Linked DNA regions of Arabidopsis thaliana. Each later gene encodes a partner of the first gene's protein in a complex. Each region holds a gene or a part of one and is shown on either strand. Other genes may lie near its edges. The genes, in order: MAD1, BUBR1 and AT2G20635.

Region 1 (7,784 bases):
TCAGTATATTTTGCTTCAGTTTAGGAAATCTTTAATGACCCGTCTTTAAATCCAATAAGCCCTATAATTAAGAGATGAATATTGTCGTTAAATGATTTTGGTAATCTTAATGATGTCATTAAAAGATTTTGTTTTTGATTAAATTTTTCTAATGGCATTGTCATGTAATTAATTACAAAAATTAAGGTTACATTTAAAATGTACTTCCCAAATAATATAGTAGGACGATATGCACTTTTATCCAAATCCACCAAAAAAGTCTTGCAAATATACTATAGAGATAAGAAACGATAGTCGGTTTTGATAGGTATATGATTAGCAAATATATTAGTTCGCTTAAATTAGTTAAAGAATACAAATTGAAAAGGTATATTACACTTTATTCGAATATAGTATCAAAACTTATATAGAGATTTGATAAATTTTTAATTGTTGAATACTTTTTTTTTGTGCTAATTTTATGTGATTAAGATTTAGTTGATTTCGTATATAAAATATTAAATTGTTTTACGAACTTATTTGTTTATAATTTGGTAACAGATAGATATTTGAATATTCAGTATATTTTGCTTCAGTTTAGGAAATCTTTGATGAGTTGTCTTTAGATCCAATAAGCCCTGTAATCTAGATATTAACTTGCAGTATACCGCAGGTAGGCTTATATTTTAGTTCAACTAAAAACTTTTATTGTAAAGATGATTTAAAAATATATGATATTATTTTATTTGATTTTAAATGTATAGTAAACTGTGAGTTGTATATATTTTTTGATATTATCTATATTGTTTAGTGTTTAAGATTATACACTTGTAGTTTGATTGTTAATTTAAGAGTTTCACCTGTAGTATACCATCTTGTATTAATATCGATCTAATCCCGTCAATTCTAGGATTTTCCAGCTTGTATTAAAAATTGAATCACATCTAATATGTTATTAATTATTGTAGTATATAAGATTATAAATTTTCAATATAATATGTATGAAATTGAATATAAATATTTCAAATTATGACATGTTACTCAGTAGAAAGTTTTCTTAAATCTATTTTTCACCCGTTATAATATTTTTTCATGTATTGAACAGTTTATATTCGTTTTTAAAAATTCAAATTATGGCATATGCGAAAAAACTCTAATTATTTTTCTATAATGATGATATTATTTTTCGGCAAAAATAGAATCATATAAAGATGAGAAGTAAACTATAATAATTAATAAAAAATTAATATGATAATTTAGATATCAAATCTAATTTGTTGATTTTAATTGGTTACTTTTTTGGGAATTAATAATGTATTTTGTTTTTCTAATTAAATTAAATTAATTAAAATTTAGATATCAAATCTTATATGTTGATTTTGATTGGTTATTATTTTTGGAAATTAATAATGTATTTCGTTTTTAATTAAATTTAATTAATTAAATTAGTATTTGACTTTTTAATCCTCAAAGAGATAAATTAATTTACTCTTTAAAATTTTATTTCTAATGACATACCTATGTAATTACTTACAAAAATTAAAGTTATATTTAAAATGTACTTCCCAAATAATATAGTAGGATGAATCTAATAACCCAAAATTTATAAAGATTTAAATTATAATCAACAGTTTGATCATCTTGTTCATACAAAATTTCGTATAAGACATTAATTAACAAAGCAAAAAATCATATATCAAAATAGACACATATTAACAAAGGATTAATAATTTAATAGTTGTGAAAAGCCTTTCCAGTTTCTTCCACGGCCTAGCTCCTCCGTCTTTACGCTCTCTCATCAAACTCGAGAAAAAAAAGTGGCGCCTCTGCAATTTCAATTTTCAAATCCTAATAATTTTTCTCTCGCTTCCCGGAGAACGGAACCCTAATTTCTCGACGCAGACATGATTTTGAGAACTCCGCAGCCGAAGAGGCTCAGGTCCGACGCCGGAGAAAGCCCCTTCCCCACCGGCGCTACTGGTTCCGGCAATCAGCTAATCATCTACGAAGATTCTCCTCTTCCTGCTCCTGCTCCGCTACAAACTTCTCATGATCATTCGGCGGATCAACATCTTTGCACCTATCAATGCCGCCAAATGGTCACTACTTATACCTATCTATCTATATCCCCTCACGAAGATTAGCGAATCTGAGGTTTGTTCTTGTTGTTGTTAGGTTAAAGCTGATGTTCTAGATGCCTTGAGCACAGCAGAGAAACAAGTTGAGGAATCTAAAACCAAATTACAGACTCTTAATGCCAACTTCACCGAAGCAGGTGAGAGATCGTTTGTGAATTCGAAATTACAAAGGTCTTGATTCCGAATGTCTCTGCTTTAACTGTTGTTAACGAATTTGATTTTGATATTCTACAACAGATGCTGAAAGAAAGCATTTTCGAGATAAATTCTTATACTCAGAGCAAGAGCTTGCTGCTGCTAAAGCGCGTGAGAAAATGCTTCAGGAGCAGCTTCTTATGGAGATCAACAATTCTCAAGAGCGGTATACCAAAGAACTACAATCTTGCCATGAACTGGAGGTTGATCTAACTATTAAATTGACTTGAAATTTCTCGTTTTACTTGGTGTCATTGGTGCCAGTATCATTAACTGAATCCTTATAGGTAAAACTTCAAAATGAAATGAACCTTCGAAAGAAAGCGGAGTCTTCTGCTGCAACAGCTGAGGAAAAAGCTAAACTTTTGGAGGATAAACTAACTCAGCTATCTGGAAGTGTGGACAGGGAGAAGAAACGTCTCAACAATGATATTGCTCAACTGGGTAAAGAAGCAAAGCTTTCTGTGGCTAGGATTGGTGCAGATGTAAGTATCGATTAAGAAACTTGATAGCTTGACTGAAGTTTTGTTTTTGGTTTCTCATGCAATTATCGTATTTGCACCTGTTTTCCTTTGCTTTTAGCTTGAAAGGATGCAATGTAGGGCACAAAATGCTGAGACGGAATCAAATCTTTTAAGATCACAACTGGAGCATCTTAAACTGATATTTGACGAGGTAAGCTATGTTTGACGTGCATCTTAGATAATAATAACACCAGTCATAAGTCATCATTTGCTTTGGTAATTTATTTTGCTTTCTCATATGATTCTTTTTATGCAGTGTTTGCAAGAAAAGACTGAAGTAGACAAGAAGCTATCGTCATTCACTTCGGAGGCAGCATCTTCTTCAGATAACAGTGTATTGGTTAAACATCTTCAGGAAGAACTTAAACGCTATGTAAGTTTTACCAGTTCTTAGTCTACCCGAGTAATGATTTTACAAAGTTGTTACATAAGATGAATCATTTATTGAAAATGAGTATGAAAGTGGTCAGGACATTGATCATAACTCTCTGTTTTATTCACCAATAGAAGCTGTACTCGTTCTTGATTACCATGAGAAACTTTGCATTACATACCCAGAATCAATGATTTCTATTTTCTGTTGATTACTCTCATAAGCAGCAAATCACGGAGAGAGATTATGCAAGTTTTTAAACACTTGAAATTTACTCAAAACACTCGTTAAATTTTTTTTCTTAAAATGGTCGTCTTATTTACTTAGGCTATCTAAGACAATTCATAAGTAAAAGAGTTTACTTTTCAAGAAAAGTGAGGTAATATAGAATGATGTATTTTTCATGTAACACTAGTTATGCAAGTCAAATTTTAATTTGATCGTAAATTCGACTCACATACTTTTCATCATTTGAAGACATGTACTATTTGTAGATTCTATTTTCGACTTCTATACTTTCCATGTAATATCTATTTAGTTTTTGTTTTTCTTGTCGATTTTGATTCTTGATAATTGTATCAGGAAGCTGAAGTGCGAGAAGCTAGAAAGTTAAAATCACGGCATTTAGATGCGGAGTTGTTGAATGTGAACTTATTAGAAGAACAAAGCCGTAGGGAGAGGGCAGAGTCAGAGTTATCAAAATTTCATGACTTGCAGCTAAGCATGGAAAAGTTGGAGAATGAATTGTCCTCTTGGAAGTCATTGCTAAATGACATTCCTGGTGTGTCCTGTCCTGATGACATAGTTATGAGATTCTCGGTGCTACAGAAGTATGTCAACATGATCTATACAGAATTTATCTTTTCACTAGAGTCTTCTTCTGATATTGTTTCAAATAATTATGCCTGCCATGAAATATTCTGTGCGGAGAGACTGAGGTAGTTGTTACGGGGCATTTTCCTGACTTTATAGGTGAACTAGATAGTATTTATCAGAGACATCTGTAACACCACTTTGTCCAGATATGGCTTTATATTTTACAGATATTCTGGCTTGCTAGTCTAGCAGGTCTAATGTGTCTGTGAGCATCTAGAGTATTGATTTCTAGTTTACCAAGCACTCTGAGTTAACACATGTATCTATGATACTTCCTAGTGACTTGTGTTTCTGCCTTTGAAGTGAGGTGGTTCAAAGCACTATGAAGATTGGGGAAGCAAGTACCCGTATTAAACAACTGGAGGAGACACTGGAGGCTATACAACTTGGCAGACAGAATGCTGTAAGTGAGGCTGCATTAGCGAAAGAGAAATCTGAGGCTCTCAAAACAGACGTGAAGAGAATTGAAGTAATGGTAAGTTTGAAAATTGTTGCTGGTGCTCTGTAAGGGGTCACAAATGCACTTTTATTTTGCTGGCATCAATTAAAGCCTCTTAAGTTGATTTTTGATTCTCGAGAGATAAAGGATAGCATTTTCAATTGGTGACACTCAAATGCTCATCATTTTATATTCATTATTCTTGTTTATTGATTGTTTGCTTGGTTTCTCTAGGTTCACTGTCTTTGCTTGGATATATACTAGCTCAGCTCTGTATTTCATGTTGATTGTTGATCTATGCATTCATAAGAAGCTGATAGAAGTAATATAGTTAGAGACGATATTCATAGGATAATATCCCTAGTATTTTTGGATGTTCACGTTGGGTTTGTTATCAATTAGTACAGATTTAATATCTCTATATATGTGGGGAAAGTCTGTTTGTTCCTAATGAGTGTATTCAATTGTTAGATTTTGGTGCAAATTCCTTCGTATCCAAACATGAGTCTATCACGAATTTATGATGAGTTGATTTATCCATAATATAGTGTCCTTTCAGGATAAGAGATAATGTGTGTAGTATAGAATTTGTTGCAAACAACTTTTTATTTAATCATGAATCTATCACAATTCAAGGGAATTAAGTTTATAGTGTCTCATTGGAGGTAACTTTTTATAATTTTCTATCAGTTTGTTGCACTATTACTAACAGAGCTTTAATTTGTAATAAAGCTCACTTTGGTCACGGAGGAGAAAGAACAGTTGAAAGCTGTTGTTAATGAATTAAGGAAGTCAAACAGTGAAGGATCTGTGTCTGGAGCCGCAGATGGAGCCCTTATTCAGGTTCTAGAATAACACAGTTCTTATTTTGAAGATTTTCCTTCTTTTTTGTTGGAAGCATAAAGCTTATTTTGCTTATATATACAGGGGTTTGAATCTTCTCTTGCAAAGAAGGAGAACTATATTAAGGATTTAGAGCAGGATCTAAATCAACTGAAGGATGTCAATAATCGTCAACGTACTGAAATAGAACTTCTAAATGAGAAACTAGTTGATGAAGCAAGGAGGAATAAGTCGCTGGAAAGGGATAGTGATCGTCTTCGCTCTGAGATCTCTTTACTGGAGTCAAAGGTACAGATGCTAGAGATGTGTGCTTGTAAAAAAGATTGCCAAAGAAAATATTTGCTTATGGAACTTTCATCTGCCATGGTCGAAATGAATAATAAAAGTTTTTAAGGGTGAATGGCGAATTTTATGTCCTGCATCTTATGTTTTTCTTAGGTTTCATGGAAGATTTTATTATTGTAAAAGCGAATAGAAATGCTATTTAGGACCTCTAACTTCTACCCTAGAGTTTGATCTGAACAGTAACATATATTTGGCAGCTGGGTCATGGTGATTATTCTGCCGCAAATACAAGGGTTTTGCGCATGGTGAATACTCTTGGTGTTGAAAACGAGGCAAAACAAACAATAGAGGCTTTACAAGCTGAGTTACAGAAGACAAAAGAAAGACTTCAAGCTGTTGAAGAATTAAAGAGCCAGTCTGGTAAATTTCTGATTGTCGACCTTTCCTGTTTTTGATACTGAGTTTGCTACAAGTCTACCATTCAATTTTACTCTCACCACAAAATTCACTGGAGAAGCATACCTTAATTTCTCTGTGACCCTATTCTCTACATCATATTCTATGTTTCCGAGAATAAAAGGGAGGGCCAAAATCTTTCTGTTGATCTGCCTCCGGAGGACTTGAGAAGAAATATTGTAGTGTTTCAAAAATGTTATTCTTATTTACTAAATATGCTTTACTGTAAATTCTTTTTCATGAATATTCAGGAGATGCTGGGAAGCTAGTTGACTCTCATATAACTGGAAAGATTGCTCAACTAAAAGAGCAAAATGCTACGCTTGAAAAACGTGAAGAGAGGTTTGTTACTGATAAATGTTTAACATGTCCTTTGTGCAAATATGACCTTGATTTCCCATACTAAAACATATGTGGAGCCTATGAATTATGAAACAGGTACAAAACTGTTTTTGCTGATAGAATTTCCGTGTTTAGAAGGGCTTGTTGTGAGCTTTTTGGTTATAAGGTATGCCACTTGCTCATAATTATGTCGTAGCACTCAAATTTTATTCTTTAGCATTACAATGGTTCCCTGAAGGCAATGATTCTGGATATTTCAGTTTTCTGAATGTTGACTATCACATTGTAAAATGTAATGTTCGTACTTTTGTCCATTTTTTACGGTCTATGAACTGCGCGTTTCTGTTGCAAAGAGGGATTCAGCTATTGCTATCTATAGTTTTCCTTACCTTCCGTTATTCGTGTAGATAGATGATCAAAGAGTCTTATTCATCTACAGAACTTGTAAACTTGTGAATTCCTTTTGAAAACTCTGGCAGATTGTAATGGACGAACATCAGCGTCCCAATGGAATCCCAGTGACTCGGTTTACTCTCCAGTCTATATATGCTCAAAGTGATGATGAAAAACTCGAGTTTGAATACGAGTCAGGAAACACCAGTATTCTAGTAAGTGATTCTTGTAAATTGTATAACTTTGATATGCTGCATTTGAATCAGTTAATCAACTGATACTGATTTAATTCCTTCAGAACAATGAGTATGCCTCTCAGGGCGACATAGCGAAGCAGGTAAAGTACAGACATAGTTTTCTTCCTTCATAAGCGCAGTGTTCTCAGTGAAGTGTAAAAACTCATTCTGTGTGTTTCTTGCAGATAGAAATATTCATCAGGAAATTCAACTCGATTCCAGCTTTTACAGCCAACTTAACGATGGAATCATTCAACCGTCGGACGCTATATTGAGAGCACTGCGTCCTTATTTCCAACTCTGTGTTTTGTATATTTCTAAAGCCTGCTGAATAGAAACTGAAACTCGAAAGCCGCAGCTTAAAACACTGGCCTTATCTATGTCTACCTCTGGTTCGTTATGTCTGCTATAATTGTGGTGTCAGTAACTCTATTTTGGTATGAAAGAAACTAGTTTCGATTTACTCAGAAAGAATATCTAATGTCATTCTCTGATTATGCGTTTATTACTTTATAGTCACCAAAAACAGTAACACTTGAATATCAAGCAAACAGATTTTTATATAACCATGAATTTAAAACACAAATAATACACAGACTACCTACATGTAAAGAAGATTAGAGCAAAATTGATATCGACTTATAATATAATTACATGTTTAGTTTTTATTTATTGTTTTGAATAAATGTTGTGAAAACCAAAACC
Region 2 (4,984 bases), on another chromosome or scaffold:
ATCGTTCAAAGAGTTTGGGAGATTCGTTGTAGTAAGCGTTGAGAATGAGTTTACCTCCGGTGTTATCGGAGTTAGGGTTTGAATTGAAAGTGCAATTGACGACGACGACGGTGTAGACTCGTCCGTATCCCCAATCTGGTAGAATCTTCTGTGCTTTAGCTCGAATCGAAGTTCCATTGTTAGATATCCACTCACACTTGTACCATGGTTTTCCGTAAACGTGGATCGGTTTCGACGCGAGTCCGATAACGGAAAACGTCGTTGGACCGCCGCGGTAAGCTCCCATTAGTACGAATAACGCCGCCGCGTTTCCGAACGGTTGGAAAACGCGTTTGTTCGGATCTGAGGGAGTTGAATCGTACTTCTGAGAAGCTGCTGCAGTTGTCGTTGAGAGAGAGGTGGTGAAATTCTCCGCCGAAGTGAAGTTCGATGAGGAGAGTAAGGTGGTGGTGGTGGTGGTGGTGACGGCGGAGCAGGGACGAGCGGTGGAGATGAGGTTGTGGTAGTAAGGAGGAAGGTTCCAGACAATCATGACGAGAGAGAGAGCTAGTAATGTAGCAATTATTGGTTTCTTCTCGAAACATACTGTGGTGGTTGATAACACCGGCGGCAAAACTTCCTTCCTCATGTTTTTTTTCCCGACGACGGTGAGTAAAACGCACCGTTTCGGTTATCAATTATTTAAAAATTAAAAAAATTCAAAAGTGACGACAAGCGTCAGAGAGAAGTGACGAGAGGCTTTGCCGACACGGCGTGTAGAAATTAGAAGACTCGTGGCTGTCTCACATATGATATGAGGAGTGATGTGGTGGAGGTTATACGAGAATGGGCTTGGATCTATTATGATTTACGAAAAAGACACTGCATCTAACTTGTAAAAAGTTGGATCAAGTCTGTTTTATGTATTGCTGGCTCCCAATTGGCAGCATGGTGGGGACACATGGTCCTTTGGGCAAGTTGGCGTAACGGTGTACCTTCTTTGGTGATGATTTAGTTTCGGTTAGAGAAATCGAATGAGTTTGGGCACGGAAAGGTGAAATGTGAATAGACTCGTTAAAGAGTTTGTGAATTCCCAGCAAAAAGTAAAAAAAAAAAGTGTGTTCTAAATTCCTTTGAATGTAGACTTTGTTTTAAACATTTGAATTAAAAACATGATTTGTTCTTCCAGTTATGGAATTCTTAAACGTACGGCAAAAGGCTTTTAGTTTTAGACTTTAGTAATAACAAGCAAAATGTATATTGATTGCGAATACGATTGCATGCATTTAAAGACTTGTTTTTTTTTCCAAACTTAAACGTCAATAAAGGAGATCATGTGTGTCACATTCCCAAACTGAAGGATACCATAAATATCAATTCTTTTATTATGTTTTCTTCATTTCATTTTCTTCAATAAACTGTTACTGTTTTATTGTCGGTGGAAGTTGTTACAATGGAAAAACAGACTTTGTATACAACTTCTAATCTTGAGTACGTTTTGTTTAGGAATTCATAATTGAGCACACTAGGTTTAGCGTGTAACGCAATGTATGTGATCATCCCTTGTTGAACCGACAGACAGAGAGCATCTTGTGGTTGTGGATGAACTTTTTTTTAGCTTCCAAGTCAAAAAGTGAATTATGCTCGTAATTTATTTAAAGAAGGTAAAAAAAGAGTACATCTTCTCTTTTATCTTTTGCTTTGATTGTTATTCTCCAAAAGACCAAAACCATCTAATTTAGAAGAAAACAAAACAGTAAAAATAATTTTCTCTGGATTATTGTGTTATTTTGTTCAGCCAATTGAATTAATGAAGTGTATTCTGTCATTTCTTTTACTATTTTACTTTCGCTCATTGTCATTTTTCTTCTCTTATCGATTATTTGTAGTAGGAGTATACACAATTCGGTTTAGATGGCCACTTAATGGGTTTAAGAAATCAAATCATGGCCCATCTAAGTTAGGCCCATCAAAAGCGTCTATACGCTCCGAGTATGCGTACATCAAAGCAAAAAGTTGCGAAGCTCTCTCATTGAGTAAACTAACGGCTATATTCTCTCTGATATTCAAAATTTGCTCGAAGAAACGACGATGGCAGCCGAAACGAAGGTTCAGGTTTCAGATCCAGAGGCAGAGTTTCTTAATTCGAAGCAGGAGACTGGATACGAGTGGGAGCTTTTCAAGGAGAACGTCCGGCCATTGAAGAGAGGTCGCAATGTTGGTATTCTCAACCACGCTCTCAAATCTCACTCTGACCACCAATTGAGAAAGAATCTCATCGAGAAACGCAGGTACTGATTTCAATCTCACATCTTTGCTCTTGGGTTTTAGTCTAATCGCTCGATTCTTGTCTAATTTTGTGTTGTTTTTGTGAATTAGGAATTTGATTGAAGCCATTGATGAGTATGAAGGAGATGACCCTTTATCTCCATGGATAGAGTGAGTTCCTTTTATCATTCTTGATTGGGTTGTTGAAAAATTGAAATTTTTCTTGAACCAATCTTTATGCTGTGACCAATTTGTAAACTGAGCTTCTTAATTGGTTTCTTTGGAAGGTGTATAAAATGGGTACAAGAGGCTTTTCCACCAGGAGGAGAATGTTCAGGACTGTTAGTGATATATGAGCAATGTGTTCGTAAATTTTGGCACTCTGAACGTTACAAGGATGATCTTCGTTATCTTAAAGTCTGGTTGGAATATGTAATGATTCTATCTTTAATTAAACCCTCTAGATGATTCTTTCTTTGTTATGGAGAGAGTACTCATAGTTTTTGTGTGTGTTTTGAAGGCGGAGCATTGCGCTGATGCGGAAGTGATTTACAAGTTTTTGGAGGTCAATGAGATTGGAAAGACACATGCTGTCTACTATATAGCTTATGCTTTGCACATTGAGTTTAAGAATAAGGTCAAAACTGCTAATGAGATCTTCAATCTTGGAATCTCTAGGTAAATGAACAGATATGTAATCTTACTTTCATGTTTCGGCTCCAAGTTATTGGTCTGATTTGAAAGTGGGAACTTGTGCAGGGATGCAAAGCCAGTGGAAAAGTTGAATGACGCGTACAAGAAGTTTATGGTGAGAACGATGAGAAGGTCCAACACAGCTGATGAAGTAAAAAGTTTTGTCTCTTTGTAACACTTTATATCTATTCATTATGGACTAAGGTTTTTCCTAATCATAATTAATGTTCTACCTACCAGCAGGAACCAAAGGAGAATAATGACTTACCGTCAAGAAGCTTTGGCACTTTATTGTCCAGGGGAGATAATAGTGAGTCACATTAACTTAACTTGGAAACCACTGAAATGTTTTGGTAAGCTATCTTACATGAAAATGTTTTCTGTAGATGCAAGAAGGCAGGCGTTAGGAAGTTCTAACCCACAAGCCAAAAAGCTAAAGCCAAATCAGTAAGTAGTTTGATTGGTTCTATATTTCTCGTTGTTTTCATTATCTGCATTTTCTATCAACTCATACCTTTAAATTATTCTGCAACTCACTATGGTAAGCAACTTTGTCTTTTGCAGATCATCCAAGACACCTTTTGCTATCTACGCAGATGCAGTTTCAGACACCACATCAGGGAATCAACCAGAGTCAGACAAGTCAAGACCAGAGTTTGGTAGTTGGCTCATGCTTGGAGGCAGAGCAGAGAGGAACAAAGAAAACAATTCTTTACCTAGAAAATGGGCATCATTCAAGGTTTTCCCTCTACCCTCCTAAACAAAACTATCTCACTTGGCTCATACTATCTCTATAAATTGATCACTAACTGCATTTATATTTATTGTCACAGGTTCCTCAGAAACCCATTGTGAGAACTGTTGCAGCAGCATCTGCTTCCACCTTTGAGGTTTTTGTCGATGAAGAAGAATGTACAGAGTAAGTTTGACTAATTTTTCAGAAGTTTTCTGAACAAAACATGTTTCCACCATTAACATGATTCTGAAATGCAGAGAGGAAGAAGAAAAGAAGAAGAATGATGAAACTATCTCATCATCATCAAACGTTCTGCCCCTTAATGGCGGCCGTGAGATAAAAAAGTAAGCAAAAAAATTCCCCTAAAGATTCATTCACCAAACAAATATTATATCATGACTTGGTAGAGATCTAACAATGGTTACTTAAAAAAATGCAGAGAAACAGAGCTGCTACGACAGAACCCTTTAAGACATTTCCCACCCAACAGCTTCCTACGATGATGATATTGGACTTTCTTCTCTACACGATCTTATGGTTTGAGATTTGAGCTTTTGTCTATAAAGCTCCTTGTGTGTTTTTGCCTATTTGGATTTGTTTTTGTGATGTACTGGGATATACTATCCTACTATGTACCATGATGTGCCTTTCATGTTTTGAAATTAATGTGACTTGTCTTGTTTCAATCCTTATATGATTTGTTTCTCCTAAAGTAATCATTCTACAAAAAAAAACTTTATATCAATTTCCACTAATTAACCTAGATTACCACTTATGATTAAACTTAAGGAATCATTTTAATAATGCCCTAAATGTGGCCAAGTCATTGGTTTATATGGCAAGTGACTTTGTGATCCCAATAATTTTTTGGTCTAGTCGTCTAGGCAACTAGCGTACCTTTGTTTTAGAAAAATTCTAGAGTTTCATTGTAAATCAATGGATACGTATGGATGGGTACAAACTAGAAAAGATAATCAATCCATTGGGCATTTCTTCCATAGAAAATAAAGTGGCTTTAAACGGATGGGAGGGGGCATAAAACATAATCAAGCATTAATAGCCATTTAAATTAATGATTAAAAACGAATGATGCGATTTTGGAGATAGACTTTGAGTGGTAAACAAGGGCAAATGAAAAAAAAAACTTGGGAATTTTATTTGGTGTTAGTGGTAGGGGCATCATTTCATTTCACAATCTACCCTTTAGGGGTTTTAAGGGTTCCCTTTAATGCAAAGTATTGCATTAAGTACGTAGCTAAACATTTATACGACTGAGTCAAGATTTCTAATAAAACAAAAAACAAATTC
Region 3 (5,742 bases), on another chromosome or scaffold:
TCCAAAAATCCTTCTGAAATAAGTGAAACAACAAAAACATTTTAAGTCTTATCAGAGACATTATAGAAATCCATAAAAACAGATTCATGCATGCTTTAAACATGAGTTACCTCTTTGAGTATGTTATCAAAGAGATTGGTTTGCAAGTACTTGGCTACATCATGCCCTAAGTGACCATCAAAGATAGCAAACAAACCCAAATCATGGCCGTCTACTTTCTTGAACTCAGACACAACATAGTCCTCCATCGGATGGCCCGCTTTGCCTTTCACAAAGTCATAACCGTGTGCGATGTTCTTCCACACCTTGGTTTTACCTCTGCCTGTGTCAGATCCGCATAATCCAACCTTCAAATATTCACACCCAAACAACAAGAAATTATACTATTAGTTTCATTTTTAAAAAAAACTTTTTTACTACTCAATACATTATAATCATTTTATTCTTAAGCTAAAAACATAAGTTGACAAATAACAGCAAAATATAAGAAGAAAAAAAAAAGCAAATATGAAAATAAATGAGAAAGATAAATTATAAAATCAAGTTTGGTTTGATAAACAAAAAGAAATTCAAAGTTTAGACATTTAAAGAAAAACAAATGATTATTAGATCCACATAACCCTTTGTAAAGACTCAATTTCATGAATAAAATTCAGCTTGCAGAACAAAACAAACAAAAAAGATCTACATAATCCAACCTTTACCAATTCACACCAAAACACAATCACATTAATCCAAGTTCTGTAATTTCTTCATCAAGAGCAACATACATACATTTCATTATCACCAAATCTCTAACCAAAAAGAGAATATAGAAAATGCACAAATTACTGAAACAAATTCAGTAACACAAGCTCTAGAAGAATCAATATCATCGTTTAACATGCGAGATGCTAACTTCCTTAAAACGGCTCTACGTACAAGTTATCACAAAGAAACAAATATAGCTTAATGAGAAACAGAACAAGACATACAAGGATCAGATCACAAAATCAAGATTCTTTAGAGCCCTTGAAACGCTACTAAAGAAAAAAGAAAAAGACTAGCGTTGAGCTAAGCATACCTTCATCTTATGGAGAATCTCTCTGCCTGCCATTGTTACAAGAATTTGTTTCTCTGCCTTTGTGTCTGAAATATGAATGATTCTAAGAAAGAAAAACAGAGAGATGAGTTTATGTAATAAATATGAATGTGAGGTAATCAATCCACATGTGAACAGCCGGTGATTCTTATCATTATTGGCTACTGACTTCCTCCGCCGACGACTTTTCTTCTTTATATTTTTCTCAAGGCAAAAGTATTCCCTAAACAAATTCTCTCTATTATTATTTGCTACATTCTTTCACATTGCCGACAAAATAAAACATTACTTTTAAAATAAAAAACTGTTATTTCGTGCACATCATCTCATTCATTACATTATTGATCGGAAAAATATTTTTTTGTTATTACTTAAAATAACAAGACATTATTTTATCAGTTTTTCTAGTTACTCTGTCATGACAACATGTGCAACAAAGAAAGGAAACTTTATCTTAAAAATATTTTCAAACAAATTCGAACAAAATGACGTCGACAAAAAGAAATACGCGTGTAAAAGACAAACCACACGCAACAAAGGCGCGTTTAGCGCGTAAGACTAGAATCCGTGGACCTGAAGCGCGTGGGCCGGGATTTTCATTTGTCTTAACTGAAACAATGGGCCACATAATTAACAAAATAGGCCCATTTACACTTTTGGGTTATATAGAATATTTGCTCTGGTCCAACAAATTTTGAATTTCGAAAGTTAATTTTTTTTGAAAAGCTTCACTTCCCACTCTCTCTCTCTCTCTCTCTCTTCCTACGGCTGCGAAAATGACAATCGGTTACAGAGACGCCGCCGGAGACCCGCTCTTCCCGTGGCTTATGTAACTCATGCTTTATCCTTCCTTCTCATCTAACTAATTGTGCTATATGTGTCAAAATGGATTCTAATTTTCCGATGTTGTATTTTGGGGTTTTCACAGGGAGATTAAAAATTCGATGGAGGATCTATACGCTGGTAAAAATTCCGGATACGATCTCGATAAGCTTCTATTTGATTGTATCTCAACTTATAAGAAAGATTCTCGGTACCGAAATGACCTCAGATTCCTCAAGATCTGGTTTCTCTATGTAACTTTACTAAAACCCTCTCTCCCAACTTGTTTGAGCTTAAATTGTGCTTTTCTTTCCTCGATTGTTTGTTTGATTAGCATTCTTAGGGTTTGGGATTGTTATATTGCGAATCAACTGATGTAGATGTTACAGTTTGGGGGTTAAATTGTTGAATCTCTTCTTAGCTTGAAGGCAGGGAAGATTTTGAGAGGGTTTATAGAGAAATTGAAGAGACTGAGATATGTAAAGGGCATTCGTTGCTCTATGAATGGTATGCTATTTTTCTTGAGGTCAAAGGATTGTGGCGAAGAGCAAATTCTGTTTATCAGACTGGTCTTTCAAGGTCTCTTATCTTTCTCCTTGTTCTGTGGCTCCTTCCTTATCTTTTTCCTCTAGTTTGTGGTTTCATTTCTTATTTGTTTCTCATTGGAGAATTGTAGGAAAGCTGAACCATTTGACAGGTTAAAAGAGGCTCACTCATTGTTCTTACAAAGAATCTCTAAGAGGACCAAAGCATCTTCCCTTGAAAAGGTTTATTTTTTAATTTTAATGAGTAGCATATGGTTATTCTAATGCACTTTGATAGCTTTAGTTGAGGATTGAACGTTTTCTTTCTGGCAGGTTGGTGATGATGCTCAGGCCACTGACTTGGAGACGGGTTTTGTGAATCCATGGGAAACATCCACTGTGAACGGCTTAATTCACAAGATAAAACCACAGCTTGTGAAATATGATGTAAGGCTGATGGAAAATCATGATATTTTACATGATTTAACTTATATAGGGAGGCTTGTCCACTGAGTTTCTTTCTTTATGTTTGCATCAGGGGTACCATGTAAGCAACAAAGTTTTCCCTGGAAAGGCCAACCTGTCATCTTTGCAGAATTATTCCAGAAATAAGATCATTGAGATAGGTATACTTTTTTCATACCAATCTAGTCTGTCACCGCTACAGGATAAAGAATCCTTCTTTTTATTATAAGATGCATTTTTCAAATTAAAAGTGGCTGGGCATGTATTCATTTGTGTAAAAGAAATTGATTCCCGCTTTGTTCTCACCTGGGACAATATGTCTTCTCTGAGACTAAAATAAAAAAAGTGACCTGGATCCATTGGCTCTGTCTATTTGCTAGGTGGAAGAAAGTACCAGATGAAGGGCTGTGCTGGCCAAGGTGGTTTTGCTCAAGTGTTCAAAGCATTCATTGACAGCAATCCTGATGAAGTAGTTGCTCTAAAGGTAGATAGACCCTTAAAGTTTTTTCAAATACAGTATGATGCTAAATGCTCATATTGCATATACAAATCTCTTCACAGGTACAAAAACCACCTTTTCCTTGGGAATTCCACATGTATCGCCAACTTGATTGCAGGATCCCAGATAGCCAAGTATGCCCTTTTCCATTAATATTACCAGTTCACAGGTGTTTCACACCGTACTAATTACTCTCATGCTATGTTAGAGATCAAGTTTTGGATTGGCTCAGAGAGTGCACGTGTATTCAGACTACAGTATACTTGTCTGCGATTATTTATCACACGGGACACTCCAGGTAGGTGGTATCTTAGGACTCTCACGGACTGAATATACAAAATGCAAACATAGTTCTTTGCTTCATTTGCCTTCTTTTTGTGATTTAAGGACGTCATAAACTCGTATGTCGTTGTTGGAAAGTCCATGGAAGAAGTTTTGTGCATGTATTACACAATAGAAATGCTGAACATGCTGGAGACTTTGCACAGTGTTGGAATCATTCATGGTGATTTCAAGCCAGACAATCTGCTGATCCGATACCCTCCGTAAGTTTATTCCGCTCCAATATTGCTGATTAGATTGTAGATAAAGACTTTTTGGTCATGAAGCCATGTACTTGTATGTTAACGATCGTGGCAGAGACTGACATACCTCACGGATTACTTGCAGAGAAAACCTAACTGAGACAGGCTTTCATGAGAAAACAGGTTCTTGGAGCAAGAAGGTAAATCCCTTATACAACTACTAGTACTCTGATTTGTGTGTGTCCACAATCTGATGCAACTTTTCATTTCTACCTCAGGGTCTCTGTCTTGTTGACTGGGGTAGAGGAATAGACTTGAGCTTGTTTCCTAGAACCACCGAGTTTACAGGAGATTGTCGTACCTCAGGCTTCCGTTGCGTGGAGATGAAGGAGGATAAACCTTGGAAGTTTCAGGCAAGTCTTTAAAATCACACTGCTTCAGCAAGAATTTTTCTTTGCATGATTAGACTTTTAACCATTCGAGTCCATTGTAACATGTGTTATATATAGGTGGACACTTATGGACTATGTGTAATCGTCCACATGATGCTGCACAACGTCTACATGGAGATCGAGAAGAAGCAATCTCTGGACGGTGGCTACATTAATATGCCGAGAACTTCATTTAAAAGGTCTCAAAAGAATAATTCAACTTCATTTGCTTGTTTTGTCTCTCAAACAAAAAAAAATTATTGTTTGGATATTGAATCACTAAGTTATTTGCTCAGATACTGGAAGGTGGATCTGTGGAAAGAACTGTTCACGAAGCTGCTCAACAGAGAAACGTGTGAAGATGACACAGAGACACTGAGGAATCTGAGAAAGTCAATGGAAGAGTATATATGCTCTGATCCTAAGCTCATGAAGAAGCTTAACGAGTTACTCGCCAAACAACGCATCTCGTTATGCTCTTCGTAATCTTCACGCAGTAATTAAAAAGTCTCTGTATAGTGTTTGTGAGGAAAAAAGAAAGAGACACTTGGGAGACAATGATTGCCTCTCAAGTAACGCGTAATTTGTGGTCTACGATGATTTATTATTGAATGTATCTAACACATCTCTGGTTCCTACTTTGTATTTCGTATCACATGGTAAGTATAAGAGAGCAATCTCTCATATCATCAAGGACGAAGGAACAAAAATATGTGTAGGTTTGGTATTGTTAAAAGGTTTGACCCAAAAGTAATTTTAGTGTATGTAAATGATTGTTTATATGTTGGAGGATTTTATTGAAAGAATGGGCAATGAATATGCAGTAAAGAGATTGACTTATTACACAGTTAATCTAATGTCTACTCCTCCGACAAATTCTATCTATGCTCTGTTTTCATCTAATATCTTTCCAAGACCTGAAACCAAAGAAGAACCCAAAGATGTTTCAGTGTAAAGATCAGTTTAATAGCCAGAACCTAGAGCATGATTCAAGAAGCTGTTACCTACAATAAAATGTGAGTGCAGTTAATAGACGATTCCTAAGGAACCAAAGGTTAAGCTGGAGGAAGTGGGCGACGACATGTTGGGCACTCCATCTTTATATCCATCCATCTCTGTAAGCATCCCGAGTGGAATATATGCTCACACGGCGTTACCATGCAATCATTAATACGGTGTCTGAGATCAATCGTGGTCATGCAGATTACGCAGTCCCTGCTTCGGTTTACATTATGATCGAGTCTTCTGTAGTAGCTGTATTTCTCAGGTAGCAACTGCCAAATCAGAAGCAAACACATGAACTAAAGACAACTAAGCAATTTACTATCAATCTACAAAGTCATCAGACCAACGAACCTTTCGAGGGACAAAGCAACGAGACCCGAAATAATGCTGA

Evidence for each region.
Region 2: MAD1 (region 1) and BUBR1 share a complex: the UniProt entries of both Arabidopsis thaliana proteins name them as parts of the mitotic checkpoint complex.
Region 3: MAD1 (region 1) and AT2G20635 share a complex: the UniProt entries of both Arabidopsis thaliana proteins name them as parts of the mitotic checkpoint complex.

What each region holds. Positions count from the first base shown.
Region 1 is NC_003076.8:20,280,422-20,288,205, forward strand, and holds MAD1 (mitotic checkpoint family protein), read left to right. Parts: upstream 1-1,689; 5' UTR 1,690-1,883; coding exon 1,884-2,078; intron 2,079-2,154; coding exon 2,155-2,254; intron 2,255-2,354; coding exon 2,355-2,515; intron 2,516-2,599; coding exon 2,600-2,797; intron 2,798-2,894; coding exon 2,895-2,987; intron 2,988-3,092; coding exon 3,093-3,209; intron 3,210-3,791; coding exon 3,792-4,039; intron 4,040-4,388; coding exon 4,389-4,560; intron 4,561-5,256; coding exon 5,257-5,367; intron 5,368-5,451; coding exon 5,452-5,655; intron 5,656-5,909; coding exon 5,910-6,072; intron 6,073-6,359; coding exon 6,360-6,450; intron 6,451-6,546; coding exon 6,547-6,616; intron 6,617-6,929; coding exon 6,930-7,058; intron 7,059-7,141; coding exon 7,142-7,180; intron 7,181-7,264; coding exon 7,265-7,354; 3' UTR 7,355-7,663; downstream 7,664-7,784. UniProt on the Arabidopsis thaliana protein: Required for the execution of the mitotic checkpoint which monitors the process of kinetochore-spindle attachment and delays the onset of anaphase when this process is not complete.
Region 2 is NC_003071.7:14,213,005-14,217,988, reverse strand, and holds BUBR1 (BUB1-related (BUB1: budding uninhibited by benzymidazol 1)), read left to right. Parts: upstream 1-1,934; 5' UTR 1,935-2,070; coding exon 2,071-2,270; intron 2,271-2,358; coding exon 2,359-2,418; intron 2,419-2,534; coding exon 2,535-2,679; intron 2,680-2,767; coding exon 2,768-2,925; intron 2,926-3,006; coding exon 3,007-3,091; intron 3,092-3,180; coding exon 3,181-3,250; intron 3,251-3,326; coding exon 3,327-3,387; intron 3,388-3,504; coding exon 3,505-3,679; intron 3,680-3,773; coding exon 3,774-3,859; intron 3,860-3,933; coding exon 3,934-4,020; intron 4,021-4,115; coding exon 4,116-4,179; 3' UTR 4,180-4,385; downstream 4,386-4,984. Other genes in the region: GALS1 (glycosyltransferase family protein (DUF23)), read right to left, coding at 1-628. UniProt on the Arabidopsis thaliana protein: Essential component of the mitotic checkpoint. Required for normal mitosis progression. The mitotic checkpoint delays anaphase until all chromosomes are properly attached to the mitotic spindle.
Region 3 is NC_003071.7:8,898,553-8,904,294, forward strand, and holds AT2G20635 (protein kinase and Mad3-BUB1-I domain-containing protein), read left to right. Parts: upstream 1-1,807; 5' UTR 1,808-1,857; coding exon 1,858-1,910; intron 1,911-2,009; coding exon 2,010-2,157; intron 2,158-2,324; coding exon 2,325-2,482; intron 2,483-2,579; coding exon 2,580-2,670; intron 2,671-2,760; coding exon 2,761-2,874; intron 2,875-2,965; coding exon 2,966-3,053; intron 3,054-3,272; coding exon 3,273-3,376; intron 3,377-3,453; coding exon 3,454-3,525; intron 3,526-3,599; coding exon 3,600-3,689; intron 3,690-3,778; coding exon 3,779-3,936; intron 3,937-4,060; coding exon 4,061-4,115; intron 4,116-4,193; coding exon 4,194-4,328; intron 4,329-4,424; coding exon 4,425-4,546; intron 4,547-4,642; coding exon 4,643-4,832; 3' UTR 4,833-5,146; downstream 5,147-5,742. Other genes in the region: PIA1 (PP2C induced by AVRRPM1), read right to left, coding at 1-13, 111-347, 1,064-1,096; AT2G20650 (RING/U-box superfamily protein), read right to left, coding at 5,402-5,620, 5,703-5,742. UniProt on the Arabidopsis thaliana protein: Serine/threonine-protein kinase that performs 2 crucial functions during mitosis: it is essential for spindle-assembly checkpoint signaling and for correct chromosome alignment. Has a key role in the assembly of checkpoint proteins at the kinetochore.